Schizosaccharomyces pombe: one gene and its partner. The protein of the gene in region 1 interacts with the protein of each later gene in a pairwise test. Each region holds a gene or a part of one and is shown in the gene's direction. Other genes may lie near its edges.

Region 1 (10,126 bases):
ATGTGAAAGTTCCACAACCATCATGGCATTAGCAGGAATAAAGTATTGTAAAACACAGGCATCATCAGATGGACGAAAAGCACTGCGTATTAAAGATGCATTAGCGTTAAGGGGAAAACCTCTTCCAGCAAGGCCAAGAGTTTCAGTACCAGAATCGGTATTTCGGAGGAAAGTATATACTGGGTCCTTAGGCAAACCGGTCTTTTCGTCAAATGATGGAGAAGACTGCTCTTCTAAAACTTGAATTATGCGTTCAACAGCCGCAAGCCATTTCACAGTAAAAATAGATTGATCCTTCGTATAAAGCCAATAAGTGTAGGAGAGCTTTAAAAATGAAGCCAAGGAATCTAATTCATATTTACACTCAAATACAACTGCTGGATCGTAAGCTGGTGTGACACGATCACTTTGTCCATTGTCGTTTCCTGAAAGAAAGCTTTGTTTAGGAGGCTGAAAAGCGTTACAATAAGGAAACTGGATTAACATTTCAGCTTGCGTTTGTATGGCACCAAGAATCAACGTCGCTAATGGTGAGTCTGATTTAGCTAGAGGTAAGTAAGGCAAAAGCTGGTTTGCAGAATCTCTGATCCATTCGGCAGGAATATCACCAGTGATTACTAGGGTTTGAGGATTATGTGAATCAGCGGCATGCCAACGAATTGTAGTATCAAGAGTATTTGGCATACAATTTTCAAATAAACGTGCTAAATCTTCATCCTCAAGTTGCTCCTTCACATCTTCAATAGTCTGCTCCACCGATTTAGAATGAAACGTACGGCATGATGTTGCTGGTCGTTGAAACGGTAACCTCAAAGGGCCAGTAGCTGGATAATGTCTCCTTCCAGAGTATGTCTTGTAATTAGGACATGCCTAAATAATTGTTAGATTAGAAACACTTGAATTTGTCACCATTTCTCCGAAAGAATCTCAGTAAGGTAGATTTATATTCTTAAGTCGAATAAAATCCATGTTCACAGGCTTACTAAGACTATTCGAGTTATGGTTGAAATAAGCCTAAAAAAAATTTTGTTTTACCTTCCAAGGAATATTAAGATTGTTCGCGAAAGCGATTCCAAATAGGAAAAATAGAATTGCCTGCCAATATTTCATTATCTGGAAAATGACGACGATGTTTGAATGAAATAAAAAATTTAAGTTAAATTTCTAAACATTCAAATCAATTTAATATTGCTATTCGCTACTTTATGGCTTGACGAAGCAAACTGGATGTGAGGTTATGAAAATAAAGTAAGTGTTGACAACTAACAACACGTTCGACTCAATGCGATCATACATTAAGTAAATCGCGTCTGCTCCTCAATTCTAGATACAAAAAGCAAAGTAAGATGGTTCAAAAAACGTAGAAGTATTTTATTAAAAGAAAGATAATAATAATAACAATCAATTTGGAGATGGTATTTATGCAATATCTTCGAGTACACCATTAGAACGATATAAGCTTATTCAGTAGGAAATTCAACAGAAAAATAAATAATTTTGAATAATAGATCACTTGGCAAACAATCGAGAAATATTAACGTACTCGGATTGTGGATGCAAGATATCAAAGCGAAAAAGAAGCAAGCATAAACAAAATTTTCAAATTTATTTTTATATTTGTTATTGAATGTTGTCAAAAAAAATACAATTTAAGACATGCATGCTTTCTTTTCTACAACTGAGCATTTTCCTTAAATTTAAAAGGGTTCTTTGTTTTTTTAGAAGCTATGTTTACTGTCACCTGCATACTTTCAGAAAAAATATAGAAGTTTAATGTTATTCAAATTCTTTCAGTAACATTACAAAAGAATATTAGAATGAAGAAAATTCTATAATATCACACTATCTTGCAGGCATAATTTATAGCAGCCAATTTTTGTATGAAAGCTAATTTAAAATTGGACACTGCATGCAAGTGTTAAATTGCTGTTTAACGTGTATAACCTGAATAACCTAATATCCAAAAATTAGCGATTTCATATATCCAAACTAATATTTGATTGCGAAATTTGTAGATTAAATTATTACTATAATAAATTTCTAAAATTATTTATCAGAAGCTAAATTATTTGAAGTCTTCGGTGGTTGCATTGTATTTTTGAAGTACCGTTTAAAAATGTAAAAAACAAGATATCGGAACAAAACTACATAATGCAATTTTTTTGCTTTATCACCGACTATTTTGTTTCTTGATGATTTTTTTACCCTATTCTTTAATGATTAACAGTTAATGAAGGTCGCAGGCTTTACATTAGCAGCATTATTCCAATATTTAAAAAGTAAACAAATAGATGTGCATAACCAAACAAGGGAACCGTCACATACGTATTTTAAATGAAGAAGGCGATGCGTATATAATTAAATCACAAACATTGTTGCTTGTTTTATGTTGTAATACGTATGAATTATTTTTATTTTTGGTTATTTAAGTAAAAGAAAAATTCGAATACTGCATATTTAAAATATTTAGATGGAAAGGGTTTTACTGCAGTCTAGTATGTTCATTGTAATAGTTTATTTATTTATTAATTTATTTTCTTTTTTTTTTTTTTTTTTTTTTTTTTTGGAAAAAGCTTTGCTTTTCACATATGTTTTAATCAATTTTTCCACACTACAATAATTTTTATACTACAGCACAGAACTCTAAGGTGCTATAACTAAAGAATTACAAATCTGTTTATCATGAACTAATAATTAGAAAAGCATTTACGACAATCACAGGTTGTTGTTAGATATTTTAAAAAAATAAAGGTCACGAATTCTGTTGTATTACAGATTCGTTAAAGGTTCGAATGCGCTACCTTGCTCGGATTAGCGCTTGTACTTAATTGTTAAGATTGCGATTTAGTTTATTGTTCTAAGTGTTATGGTTGTTAGTATAGACCAACAAGACATTCTTTAAAGCTGGCTACAATACTAGTGGGCCGACACTAAGTCAATTGTCGATCTGTGAATCATGACTGGGAAGCAGTGAACAATTAAGAAATATAATAGATAAAGACTGATCTACGGAGTCAATTCTTGATAATATTCATCCTTTTCTCAATACCACGCTAACCTTTATGGCAACCTAGATACTCTTGAAATATTGAACTACAGTGACCTACCATTTATAAATTGTTATATTGCAAATTGCCGATCTATACCGAGAATATCAAAGTAGTGCTGTATATTCAATATACCGAGCACTCGTTCGAGTTTCTACCATTGTAACATATGACTTTTTATCAGATCAACATGATATATGTCAGCAATGATCATTTACAACTCACAGCATACCCCATCGATACATTTTATAATGCCTTTCTTTCCATAAAGTAACGTTTCGATTGGAGGGCTTCCAGAGAGTGAGGCTCAGACAGTAATGGAGGCTTGTGTATTTAAAATCATACCAATGCCATTTGTTTTCCCTCCATACTTCGTGATTCTAAATGATCTGGTTATTTAATGAGTAATTCCGCAAGTTTTCTTTCTAATAAGGTTGAGATACTGTGCGCAGAGGAGCTTGATTATTCTTTAGTGCACTTATTTTAAAAGTACCCGTTTTAAGGTCAATGAATTTTGTTTTGTCTAAAAATGTTTTCTTAGGCGCGAAGTATAGTTTAAAGTTTAGGATTCACGTATTTCTCTAATAATGAAATTCGCCATGTATTTATTTATTTCTGCACCTGTATGCGATTCGTAGGTTTGTCTGCCTACGGGATTTTTCAGCTAGCACAATAGACTCTTACTTCTCATCTCTTGCGTGCTATTTTTGTAATTTCCCACCCTTCCTGAATTTTGCTTAGTCCCAACTTAGGAGTTGTTGGAAAATCTCCTTACCCGATAAAATGTGTTCCTAACCTGTCCCCTTTTACTAGCTGCGGCAAAACTGGCGCTAGTTCCGCTTCTCAAATCTATCTCAATATCGTCCGCCTTCGAATTTGCGTTGGGACGATAAACTTGTCTCAAAAAAATCGATCCACAATTTTTTTTATCTTCTTTTTTCACCGACGAGGCTCGTTTGGTCCACGCTAAAATATTGGTTTCCATATATATACATACCTGACATCCTGACAAACTAACATTCGCTAAATTCGTCGAATTATCAACGGGTGCAGAATATCTTTTACCACATATTTAGCAGCTCCTTATCTTTAAGACTTCTTATTCGGGGTAACGTGACTTTGACTTCATTGTCTCACAAAATTGCTACGACCAACCAACTACAAATATCACTCGTTCAATTTTAAACTTGAACTTGTCGAAAGCCATACTGAATACTCTGTTACTACGTACTAGACAATTGTTGAAATAGATTATTTTCACACTTATTGCCCTGTAACAGCTCGTTTTTCAACAAAACGAAATAATTTTGTTGATTGTGAAAAATTTCCGCTTTTTTTTTTGCGTCGCCATCCTCATCTTTCCCTGTTGGAAGCTTAAACACACGAAACTTGTGCTTGGTGTTTTAATTAATCAAGCACACACTTCCCTTATAGATCTACTTCCTTGCCCTTTTCTGAGGATTCATTAGCTACAGACATATCTGTTATTCATTCAACAAATTCTTGAAGCTCAAATCGCTTTTCTTTTTCCGCATTTTAGATGAACTAAGCATTTAATTATTCTATCATTTTCTCTCCCTTTTTTTTGTTATTCGGTTTAACGTACCTAGGTTTTCTACCCAATCCTCTTTTGTTTGGCACGGTGTATTAGATTTCGTCAGGTTTATTGTTTTTTCCCATCTATTTCTTCATTCATTTATTCCACTCCCCTGCTTCAATTTGATATAACTAAATTACCCTCCTCTTGTAATTTTCATATCGGCGTCTTGTTTCATTTCGCCACTGCTGACGCTTGATCAGATTTAAATCGTCATATATACTCTTCTCCACTTGCCATTAAGACGATCGTACTTTGAAAACATTGTAAAAATTCTACTTTATAAGCAAAGTATTCGAATCGCTTTCTTCATTTGACTTTATTGGAATTTTTATTTGTCTTTGATAATTCAATTGCGAGTGCTAGGATTGCTCTATCTTTTTATTTTTCAATCCTTGAATCTTTACGTACCCTCCAACTAGCACTCCTTTGTTTGCTTTGTGTATATTTCACTCTTATTCTGGTCTATAACGCAGTTCATCTGATAACGGTGATAGGCTCGTCATTACCAGGCGTACATAACACATTCACTTGATTTATTCTATATTTCAAATCTCAGTGACCATTTCATTTAACCTTTGCTGTACTATTTTATAGTCTGTCCTGCTAGTCTTCTTTCCCTGAGTTAGTGGATATTCTGGTTGGTGGTCGGCTATACCGTTTAGCTATACATATCGTTTCCGTTTTTCTCTCTTTTTTATTCATTTCTTGTGTTCTTTGGGTGTTTACTATTCTTTTTATTATTCATTTCATTTGTTTTACGTTTTTTCTATTTATTGTGTCTCTTTTTGGTCTAATTTTTTTTTAGATTGTTTATATCCGTTTTTGTTTATTTTCTAGACTATTATCCCATTTACGCTTAATATTAGTTTCAATATGGTTTACACGAAAGCTTGGTTTTTGCAAAATATTGCCAGACAAACACTTGGCAAAAATGTTGCCGTTCATCGTCCTCCTTTGAAGCTTGGAAATATGACGAATTGGATTCAACAACAACAAGCCCAAACGAACCTCTCTCTCTCTAACACGAAAGCACCTGGTTCATTGGATGAGCGTCTTTTCTTAACTGAGGATGACATTATCTTCCATGACCGTAGTATTCAGCTTGGTTACTTCGATCCTTCTCTTTCTGAGCGTAAGCAATCTCCTCCAGGCAAGTCCCTTCATCGCTTTGTTGACAATCTCAACCCTAACAGCTCACATTTTTCTGCTTCTCTTTTACCTGCTTCTCTCTCGTCACTATGTGACTCGACATGCGGTGATGTAGATGATGAACAACAATTTAACTCTCTCGCAACATCTCCCCTCTCAACTGAAACCCAGTCCGAAGTTTCGGACCCTTTACTGGATACTTTAACTCCTAATTCTTTGGAATCTTCTTTTGCTTCAATTTCTCTGAATTCTTTCACTTCTGCCAATGAGTTTATTCAATTTTTGAAAAGACTTGCTAGTAGTAAATTATCCATTCATACTTTTGATCTGTATAAGCTTGTTCGAAACTCTCCTGAACTATTGACTTTGGAAGCGTACAATATTGTTTTGCAATGCATGAGTACGGACGACTATTTTTTGTCGTCATCAAAAAACATTCAAAAAATTATCAAGGTTTATGTCGATATGCTTAATTCGTTTATCTCTCCAAACGTAACTACATTTGAAACCGTCATTTTCGCTCTTTGTCGTCGCGCTAAATTCGTGCATCAAAAAATTGAATCACTCTCTAAGCGCACTATTTACGCACATCCGAGTATTGCAAAAGAAATACAGCCTGAATTGCTCGATCTGCAATCCGAGATGCCTTTGCAAACTGCTGTTTTCATGTTTACTTCTAGCCTCATTAATCACGATCTCATATACTCTCCTCAATTTTATGCTATTTTAATTGAGAGTGTTTCTTTGTATGGAACGCAAAGCCAATTGGATTCCTTATTAGAGTGCGTTCCTCTTGGCACTATTGAAGCTAACGGCCATCCTGATTTACTCCCAGCTCTAATTAGAGCTCTCGGTAGAGCTAAAAGGCTCAACAGTTGTTTTCAACTTTTAGAGCGTTATAACTTATCTGATCCAACTAGTGACACTTCGATGACTAATGTGCGTTCTTGGGAAGGTTTAATGGAAGCTTATTTTGACACAGATCACCATGTTGAAGCAAGTGCATTGATGAAATCTTTTTTCCGAAAGGCTGATAGCAATCAAGTTATACCGTCTTCAATATTAGACTGCTTTTTACGTAGATTGGCTCAATTAGGACATTATAAGGAATCTGCTGAATGGCTTGGTATGGCTATAGAAAAGATTAGCACTTACAAAGCGAGTCCGTCTACATTATCGTCCATATTGGAGGCGGCTTGTTTGAACAACAACGACAAGTTTGCTATTGCTTTTGTGAGAAAATATACATTATCTCGATTTAGCGACTGTCATGCAGTGCTTCTCCGTTATCTGGACTTGCTTGCCAGATCAGGGAATGTCGATCTACTTCATTTACATGCATATCCCGTTATTTGTTCTGTGTCTTCTCACACTAACTTTACGTTTTCGAACGTTTACAAAGCTTTCATTGAGAACGGAAAGATTGATGTTGCACTTCGTCTACTTCGTAAACACATTGATCCAAAAGTTTCCCTTGGTAACAATACTGCACCATCTTCTAATAGTGTTGCTCTTCAATTATCAATCCTTAATGGATTTTGGGAAGTGTTGACGGAGGAGTTACAAAAAGATGTGCATGTTCTTTTATCGTTGGTTTCAACGTTAGAGAACCAAGTAAACTTCCCTCAAGTTGATTTTACTACTCCGTTGTTACGACATATAACGGGTTACTTAGTTAGCCGTCGCTTAGAACCGGAGCTCATTTCTCCTAGAGTATTTGGCTTTTTGCTGGAATATGCAGCATTCAATGTCGTGCAAACCGAAGGTACTTTCACTTCTAAGGTTATCCTCACTGATTTGTTAAAATGTTACTCCAATGGAACGTATAAAGCATCTTTCAAAAACGTTCATGTTGTTTTACGTTCTTTCACATACCTGAAAGAAGACGAAATGCTGGTTGCATCCGTTCGAGATGACATCGTCTCTGAAGCAGTCGTCGGATTCTCTACTGATAACAATGGACAGAAAATTTTAGCGGATATATCGCAAGTTTGTTATTGCCTTGACGACCTGGAATGCATCGATCAAAGTATAAATTCACTTGTTTCCAAAATGTTAACAAGTGCATCACCTGAGCAGGTGGACGTTAATATATTGTTTTTCCAGTTCGGTAAGCTTATTGAAACCAATAAATTTTTGCATCCTGAAGTTTATCCTACGTTAATATCTGTTTTAAGCAAAAATAAACGTTTTGATGCTGTGCAACGTGTTTTTGAGCATTCCAAGCACCTCTATAGGAAAATCAGTACGAAGTCTCTTGAAAAAGCGAACTGGTTTATGGCGTTGATTTTAGACGCCATGATCTTATCGTCTTCCTTTGCTCGTCAGTTCAAATCTTCAAATCTTTTTTGTGACAATATGAAAATGCTTGGATATATTCCTCGTGCTTCAACTTTCGCACATTTGATTAACAACTCAACAAGGAGAGGAGATACTGATGATGCCACTACCGCTTTGAATATTTTTGAGGAGACCAAACGCCATAATGTGAAACCTTCTGTTTTTCTATATAATGCAGTGCTTTCTAAATTAGGTCGAGCTCGCCGCACAACAGAGTGCTGGAAATTGTTTCAAGAAATGAAGGAATCGGGGTTACTTCCTACCAGCGTTACTTATGGTACCGTAATTAATGCTGCTTGTCGCATTGGTGACGAGAGTCTTGCTGAGAAGCTATTTGCTGAAATGGAAAATCAGCCTAACTATCAACCTCGCGTTGCTCCATACAACACTATGATACAATTTGAGGTCCAGACAATGTTTAATCGTGAAAAAGCGCTATTTTACTACAATAGGCTATGTGCTACCGACATAGAGCCTTCTTCTCATACTTATAAGTTATTGATGGATGCTTATGGTACATTGAAGCCTGTCAATGTAGGTTCCGTAAAGGCAGTTCTTGAACTTATGGAGCGTACAGATGTGCCAATTTTATCTATGCATTATGCTGCATATATTCATATTTTAGGAAACGTTGTTTCGGATGTTCAGGCAGCCACGAGTTGCTACATGAATGCTCTTGCCAAACATGATGCCGGGGAAATTCAACTAGATGCGAACTTATTCCAATCCCAAATTGAATCTCTTATTGCAAATGACCGCATTGTTGAAGGCATTCAAATTGTTTCTGATATGAAGCGTTACAATGTCTCGTTAAATGCATACATTGTAAATGCCCTTATAAAGGGATTTACTAAGGTTGGCATGATTAGCAAAGCACGTTATTACTTCGACCTTTTAGAATGCGAGGGTATGTCTGGTAAGGAACCTAGCACCTATGAAAATATGGTTCGTGCCTACCTAAGTGTAAATGACGGTCGAAAGGCAATGGAAATTGTGGAACAATTGAAACGCAAGCGTTACCCGCTACCGGTTGTTAATCGTATTTCTTCCTTGGTAAATAGCCATATGGGTCAGAAACCTAAACGTCGTTCTTTGAATACTAGTCACTCTTCTCTTGCTTCTTTAGGAAATGCTAGTACCCAACACTCAATTAATAGTTCTATCAATTAGACTGAAATTTGTGTGCTAATTGGATGAGATTTGGGCTATTCTTATATATTATATTTGATTATTGGCATGTATCTTTATTTCGTTCCTTGAAATAATTTTAAGCATCTTTTTTGATGCTATGTAAAATATTTTTATAGATTAATATAGAACTTAGAATTTTATGCATTAAAATGTCTAGAATTTACTTATCGCGTATTCAATTTTACTTTTAACCACTGGACCATTCCTGTACAAACATTGCTGAAATGGTTATGACTACCGCTAAGTAATAAAATTTGGTTCCACACATTACTAGATGATCTAAGTTGAGAACAATGTTGTTACCATGGCATATAGTTGTTAAAAAACTTCAGTTTACATAATACTTTTAAACATTCCCGCTACTGTAGAAGCACTGTTTTAATAAGTGCCCAATTGACATCAGTTACAATTTCAGGGATAAGCTTAAGAATGCTTGAAACTTTGGTATCATGACAGTAACTCTTGGTATCGTTCATGGCAATTTAAAAAGACATAGAATTTGATCGATTTGTGTTAAAATTAACCAGCTCTAGCATGCTGTACCGTATGACACGTCTTTTGCTAGCATTTTCTTTAGTGCGTGATACTGAGTCGTTTCATCGCGTTATATATATATCAAAACAGATATCTCATATAAATTCAGTTACTGCCTGAAACGAGGAAAAGTATCTTTTCCAATCCCGTTTACCACGATGTCTGAAAATACTGATTCCACCCACGAAAAGCTAATTTTTGCACCTTCTCGCTATCAATATGAAAAATCAAGTTTGCACAGAGATGCACTTATGGGAAAAGACCC
Region 2 (7,886 bases), on another chromosome or scaffold:
TTGTCATCGCTGACAAATGAATTGTTATTTGATATCAGTCCTCCTGAACAAACATCGATAACTCGATATTGCCAGATGTTATTGGATATAATTTATGGATTAAAAATTCAACAAGCAATTTAACTTGGAATAATAAATAATACCATACGCAAGGGAATTCTCGTATTCTATTCAATTTCTATATTAATAATGAATAATAATATAAACCAAGTCCGCAAATCTATAGTTTCATTTAACGAACCTCGTTAAAATTATGTTGGCTCCTCCTTCATTTACGATATGAAGATTAAGGAAATCCATCGAGTCACTAATTTATTTCTCAGATTAACAAATATCTTATCTATGCTTGTCCCATGATCAAACTAATCATAGACAAGATCGTTATCATTTCATCGAACTGATTTACCGGTGTATTAATTGAGCAGAATTAATATGAAATTTACCAATATGCCACAGTGGTGAAAAGGCCTGTTTTCCAAAGTGCTGTGTCTTTTTTAAAAAAACGATCATTCGGTGATTTTTTTGTATATAATTAATTAACCGTATAAATTACTAGCAACTCTCATTCCCAGCTTTTAACCCTCAATCATTTTTAAGGGAAAATTCGTTTACTTAAACACGACTTTGTTTTATCCATTTATTAATTTAAATGAAGCAATCGCGAACGAAGCGCGTTTTAGCAATTGGCGAACTAAAATTTGCTACAAACACGTTGAAAAGATTATCTGAAAAGTATCATTTTGAGTTTATCGTTCCAGATCCACACGATCGATCCAAAACGATAGAAAAAATTCACGAAGCTGCCTCAAAATCTACATTTGATGCTTGCTTTTGGTTATTCAGAAATGCAGCCATTTCGCCATTTACGGAAGAAATGCTGGGGCCTTTACTTCCCACTTGTAAATTGTTCGTAACTGGTGCTGCTGGTTACAATAATGTTGATGTCGACTGGGCTACAAGAAATGGTGTTTACGTCGCAAATACTCCAAACGGACCTACAGAGGGAACAGCAAATATGAATTTAATGCTCTTTATGTGTACACTCCGTGGAGCTCGAGAGGCAGAACAAAGTCTTCGCCTTGGCAAATGGCGTCAAAACTTATCGCTGACGGACGATCCATATGGAAAACGAGTGGGCATTATTGGGATGGGCGCAATTGGCAAATCTTTTGCTCAAAAAATTCTTCCTCTAGGTTGTGAAATTGTATATCATAATAGAAATCGCCTGGAGGCAGAGGAAGAGAAAAGACTAGGTGCGTCTTTTGTTTCTTTCGATGAACTGCTAAGCTCTAGTGATGTAATTAGCATTAATTGCCCTCTTACCCCAGCAACTCACGATTTAATATCCACGAAGGAATTTGAAAAAATGAAGGATGGAGTTTATATTATTAACACAGCTCGTGGTGCAATAATTAATGAAGATGCCTTTATCAAGGCTATAAAATCTGGCAAAGTTGCTCGTGCAGGTCTCGACGTGTTTTTGAATGAACCTACTCCCAATAAATTTTGGTTGGAATGCGATAAAGTAACCATCCAACCACATTGTGGTGTATATACCAATTTTACGGTTGCTAAAACAGAGGAATGTGTTTTAGCAAGTATTGAAACATTTCTTGATACAGGAATCCCCACCAATCCAGTCAACGGTCCGTTCGGCATGAATGGTTGTTGATGCAAGTCAAAAGTCCTTTACATCTACACAAGTAAAGTATATGTTAATAAAAAATATTCATTTTTATGTTGTTGCTTTTTGTGAGCACGTATCTGTAAAGAATACATATGAGAGATTCTGTCATTTTGAATGCTGCTTTTTGGGTCAGCCTGTTCAAACTTACATAGTTGAAAAGATTATCACATCCTTATTTTTTAAAGCTAACTATTTATTATTCACTTGTTAAGATGCTCCTCCTCTCAGGGAAAAGTAAAAGTAGAAGTTCATTTTCCAAAATGGGACTTTACAGAAAAATTGAATATCTGATTCCATTTCAAGGATTTGGAAGATATTTATCTTTGCGTGCGTATACTAGACATGCTCGCATAATTTTATAGTAGGATGCTAGCAACGGTGATTAAATTGGCAAGTCGAATTATCTTAGATCTAAGGCTAAAATCATAAACTGCTATAATCTTTTAGATATCAGGCTACTACAAACTGCTGTTGCCAATTTAAAATGGTATGGTACATGAATCGATCCTTCGATAAATGTCTATCTAAGTGTTCGTATTAGTCAGAATATTTTGGTTCCGAACTGATATCCTCCCGCGTGTGCATAAAATATTCCATTTCATTCAATATCAATTCATAAACTAGTCATTAGATGAAGAAAATATTTCTAGTTCGTATTATTTATATAAGCATACGTAGAACCATAAAGTCAGGCAGACTAGTTCCTAGTTTTGGCTTGAGTAAGTTCAATTTCACTTCGACGAAACTGGCGTTTATCAACGTACAAATTTAATTCTTTCCTCAATTTAAGAAAAATGCCTCTTTTTTTTAACTTCGTAATATCTATACGGTAAAGACATGTTTAAAATGGTATAATCTAATGAGCTATGTAGTTTTCATCTTATCAACTGCAGCTAAAGATGGGTTGCTTCAATATCGTGTTTGATTATCTGCAAAATGTCCGACATCTTTCATATTGATTACTATTAAACTTTTTTTTTTTTTTCAACCAGAATAGTATCGACTGGTTACCCTTTATCAAACTTGTGTGACTAGGTTGAGTTATCAATATGGACCATTCGTAAAGCCCACAGCAAAACTCATTCGCAACTAGTCTGTGTTTAATATATACAGCAATTGACAAGATTAAGCATAAATATATAACTAAAAAAGACTCACATTTTTAAATGAAAAGGATCAGAAATGCTTGTGAATTGTGCAGGCGTAAGAAGCTAAGATGCAATGGTGAATTAACTTGCCAAAATTGTATGGTATATGGCGAAGAGTGTCGTTATGTTAAGCGGGTTAAACATGACAATCGAGCAGCAGTACAAGAAAACGAAAGGTATCCTATACTCTACACTCCGCTCAGCACTTCAGATCATGATAACGACGAAGAGAATGAAATCAATGAGTTGAAAAATGCTGTTAAAGCTTTGGATAAACGTTTTGATAATTTCGAATTAAAGCTAGAGGCTCTTTTCTCTTTATTAAGATCTCAGCAGGACTCAGAGAGGAAAGTGAAACCCGGGGGTTTTCCATCTTTGGTTTCACAGATTTTGAGTGCAGGGGCTCTCGTGGATTCAAAATTGCAGGCATACACTATGAGAACCAATTTTTTTTCTAATGGATTTAGCAGCAACGATTTATTCCCCCATAGCTTTCCTACTTGGAAAAGTGCCTTTCGAGATGTTCCAGACAAAGATTGGGCTAAAACATGCTTGGATTGGTATTTCAGATTTATCAATTGTAATTGGCCTATATTTTATAAGAAACAGTACATGGAAAGCTTTGAAAAGTTATATATAGACAAGAATTTGGTCAAGGGTGCCTGGATTGTCTCGTTCTATGCTATTTTGGCTTTGGCTGTATCTCGAGACAAAAGAGTCGATAATAGTAAATTGGCGGAGTCTTTTTTTGCTACTTCCTGGTTTCTAATTCAAAGACCTGGCTTTTTTCTCACACCGCAACTCGAAAAAATTCAAGCATTAGTGATCATGATTCAGTTCGCAAGTCATCTGTCGTTGTACAATCTCTGCAAAAAACTTTGCGGTCAAGTTTGTTTGATGGTTAAGGATTTAAATTTACACAAAGAAAGTACAGACAAAGATCTTGACCAAGATATGGCAGAATTGCATAGACGAATATTTTGGGTATGCTACATTTTTGAAACTACCACATCCTTGATTTTCGGAACCCCTCCCGTTTTGGGAGATCTGGAAATTGAGTGCAAATACCCTGACATTAATTATGCTCATTGTTTTGCTGAAAACGTCCAAGGAGATTTAATATTTACATGTGAAATATCGTTAACCGTTTTGAAACACGAAATAAGGACTAAGCTCTACAATAGTAATAATGTTTTTTTAGACAAAGGTCAAAAGGGTGTGATATCTAACATTCAAACAAAGATATTGAATTTTGAAAGAGCCATTCCTTCTGAAATGAAGCATTATTTTGAGATACTTAAGGCAGGTAACGGGCTGCCCGAAGAACTGGATATTATTAAGCAACATTTTTTTACAGCTTGCGTGGAAATATATCTGTCATATTGCAATACACTTATTTATTTATATCTCGCGGACGATAGCATTGAAGGATCAAAAATTTGTTTAAGCACGGCTAGAGCAGCTATTGACGTTATTAAGGGATTTTTGGTGGTTCTTGATCCTATTTCAAAAAATATTTGTTATCTTTGGCTGTTTCTTTATTGTCCGTTTACACCTTTTTTGACGGTTTTTTCACATCTTTTGGAAGACGACGACTTGGACGCTGATATATGCGTCAAGGACGTTGATCGGTTATACTCTATTCATGCTTTTTTTTTAAAAATGAAAGATATCAGTGGAGAATTTGCTGAGAGGTTATCAGTTATTACTGAGAATTTTATTCAATCGGCTGAGCAATATCTTGCGCTGCAAAATACAAGTGTGTTTGGGACATTTGATGCCTTGAGCGAAAGTTTTTCAATTTAATATTTATATACTAATAATTTAAAGGCTTAAATATGTCCTTTTATTTGAATGCTTACTGTATCGTGTTCTTATCGCTTACTGTTTTCAAAGCGCATGCTTGATATATATATGGCAAGTTAATTTACTTTGACGACAAGTATCGGAAAATATTTATGTCGTGAGGATTCTATGTACAATATAATGGTTTTAATCAATATATATTATCACTTTAACATTTTTTGATCGATTCATTCACCGGGCAATATTATCTCAACAATTTCTAATCTGACGGTTTGCGGGTTTTCCAATTTAGCGAGAACATGAAATAACTTATAGCTCATATGTTATGTTATAATTAGCCAACGACTTCGTAAATTTGAAAAATTAATGCTTACTTAGACTGGTTGTCCTATACGCCCAGGTCATCACTTTTTAGAATTTTCTAGTACTTTTAATATATTGGTTGTTTTCGGTTATTGATAAACAGTTCTTGAGCTGGCTTGAGTCTGCGATGCTATCATTCATGATCAATAATACTGTAAACAACCATTTTTAATATTCATTGTGGACCACAACATGGGAATGATTTTTATTATTATAGTAAACTAGCTACTGGTAAATTATTAAAGAGAAGTCGAAAATATTACAACCAATTGACCGAATCTTCGTTAAGGACATGCATAGTTTAAGACACTCATCATCTTATTTAGTGTTGTCAATACAGTGGATTTCAATAGACAGGATAATCAGTATAATAAGTAAATATCGATAGAAGAACCGATGCTATTTGTTGGACGTTACAGAAATTCATTTGTAGGTTCATAGTGACAAAAATTATATGTCAAATACTTTAAGAACTTATAGGTCTTCGTCAAACGGGTATTAAACCATCATCATTCTGGCTAGTGATGCTTAAGAAATCAGGAATAATTCTACCTCAGCATTGTACAAACGAAAATGCTTACATGTCTATTAACATACCCAATTGATATTTCCCACTTAAATCAACAAACGGGTATACAATTTGATACAAAAATTAGACTAATAGAACTAGGAATAGTGTACGTGACCTGTTCTTTTATAATTAAGAAAAAAACACAAGTTCCAATTTATTAATTAACTAAAGAAGGTAATAGGGGATCTAGTAAAGAGGTTTACAATATACTAATAACTTGACTAAAAGAATTGACTAATTATTATTCCTTCATCAATGCACACCGGTAAAAAACAGTAAAAAAACAAAAAAATCAATAGAAAATTAAATAGAATAACGAAATTCGGGATTTTCAAAGTCGGTCAAATCCTTTTTGTCTTCCTCACTCAATTCATTTGATAAATATTCGTTTTTTTCATCCCTTCTGCGATTCTCTCGCACATTAACGGCATAAATAGCAATAATAATAAATATAGCAACGCAATAACAAACGACAAATGATACTTTAGCTCCTTGGTATTTTGGAGCTTGTGTAGACCTAAATGTTTGGGGGCCGACCATATTTCCAACGCAATATCCAATCATGGAAACAGCGCTCATAAAAACTTTTTTGGTGTGGCCTGCGCTATTAGACGAAATGCAGCTAAGGATGCAAATATATGGAATTGGTGAAATGCCAAACAACCAGTATCCTGCAAGTTGTGCATGTGTAGGTTTTGCAAATGCAATAAGTGATCCGGAAGTTAAGTTAATAGCCAGGCCAACCAAAGCAATATCCATTCGTCTATTCGTAAACTCTGGGATAAGGCCAAACAAAGTTAAGGCAGCAAACGAAATGGAGGAAGTGGGCATATTCATAAGCAATGCCTTACCTTTTACGTAGCCAAGATTCTTTAACATGATGCTACTAAAATTTGAAAGCCCACCATTAGGGATAGCAACGGCTATTTGTAGGAAAAAGTATAAGTACATACGTACATCTCGACAAGCTTCCAATATTTGGTATTTCTTAAACTTTTTGCTGCCAAGCCCTGCATGATCAGTGTCTAAACGCTTGAGGACAAGATCCTTTTCCTTTTCACTCAAGAACCAAGCTTTGGAGGGTTCATCGGGAATGTGAATAAATATGAAAACCCCGTTAATTATGGTAATCAATCCAGTGATAATAAATAAGATTCTCCAAGGGGACATGGTTAAATTGTTTTCAAGCTCTCGTTTATACAAGCCGTAAGACATACTTCCTCCAATAAGACCACCAAGTCCATTCCAGGCTACAAGGAATGCCATACGAAAAAATTGTTCTTCTTTTCTATACCATTGTGCAATAAACAAAACAAAAGCTGGCGTAATAACTGATTCCAATATACCCAACAAAGTACGAGTAGCGATATAGGAAGCATAAGAATGCACCAGGCAAGTCAAGGTCATTAATATACCCCAGGCCACAATGAAGGCAGACGTTACTTTGCTAAGAGGAAATTTTTGTAACAGAGTGGATAATGGTAACGAGAATACCATAAAACCAAGATAAAAAGACGTACCAACCCAATTGTATTGATTGCCCACCATATTTAAATCGGTGCGAATACCCATAATTGATGAATAATTACTGGTGGATTTGTCCATATATTGAAATGCTGAAATGAGGCAGAGAAGTGGCATAACCCATAAATCTGTCTTTAATTTGAGTTTTCGATTTAGCGATTTGTCAATAATGGGATGTTTCTCTGCAAAAATCACAGCAACATCCTCTTGGCTGTCTGATCCTTTTTCACCCAACTCCTTAATACTGTAATTTTCTTCTTCTGTCTTCTCCATGATGAGATTAGTAGTAATTGTTGTGAATGTAAGCACAATAATAAATATTTGAACTTTCCTTCGTCCTTTATATAATTGAAAGCGTCAAAGCATTATCATTGATACAAACCAGATAAGCTACAACTATGTTGATTTTAGCAGACAAAGGGCTGCAACAAGTCAACAAATTTGACAGATTAGTTTGCAAAATACTTATTTTACAAGTATCTACAGCATTTTGTCTCAGATTCAATTTCCAACTTGGTCTTCCGTGGGTAGAATAGGTTGAAATTTCGCATCAGGTATGCATACAATCAACATGAAAATCCCCAGATTTTCTTATTTTCTCATCCACGGATCTTACATCCGTGGATAGAAGTCGGAGTATGAAGGTGCCATTTTGGGGTGTACAACTTGCAACATTAATCTACCTTTTTTTCTCTAAAGATTACCACTATTGATTTAACGGACTAAGAAATTATAAAAATATTAAAGCCGTTAAAGAAAAGTAACTTTATATAACGATATATTTATT

What was found. Proteins that work in one complex are often made in the same cells at the same time.
Region 2: the proteins of ppr5 (region 1) and SPOM_SPBC1773.16C interact in a two-hybrid assay, tested with the Schizosaccharomyces pombe proteins (one large-scale study listed by BioGRID).

The regions. Positions count from the first base shown.
Region 1 is NC_003424.3:4,602,112-4,612,237, forward strand, and holds ppr5 (PPR repeat-containing protein Ppr5), read left to right. Parts: upstream 1-4,706; 5' UTR 4,707-5,520; coding exon 5,521-9,306; 3' UTR 9,307-9,626; downstream 9,627-10,126. Other genes in the region: protein mug157, read right to left, coding at 1-870, 1,036-1,110; SPOM_SPAC1093.07 (uncharacterized protein), read right to left, coding at 3,796-4,032; pdx3 (pyridoxamine 5'-phosphate oxidase), read left to right, coding at 10,020-10,126. UniProt on the Schizosaccharomyces pombe protein: Mitochondrial RNA-binding protein that acts as a general negative regulator of mitochondrial translation.
Region 2 is NC_003423.3:315,448-323,333, reverse strand, and holds SPOM_SPBC1773.16C (transcription factor), read left to right. Parts: upstream 1-2,768; 5' UTR 2,769-2,853; coding exon 2,854-4,641; 3' UTR 4,642-5,640; downstream 5,641-7,886. Other genes in the region: gor2 (glyoxylate reductase), read left to right, coding at 650-1,672; dal52 (dipeptide transmembrane transporter), read right to left, coding at 5,879-7,372.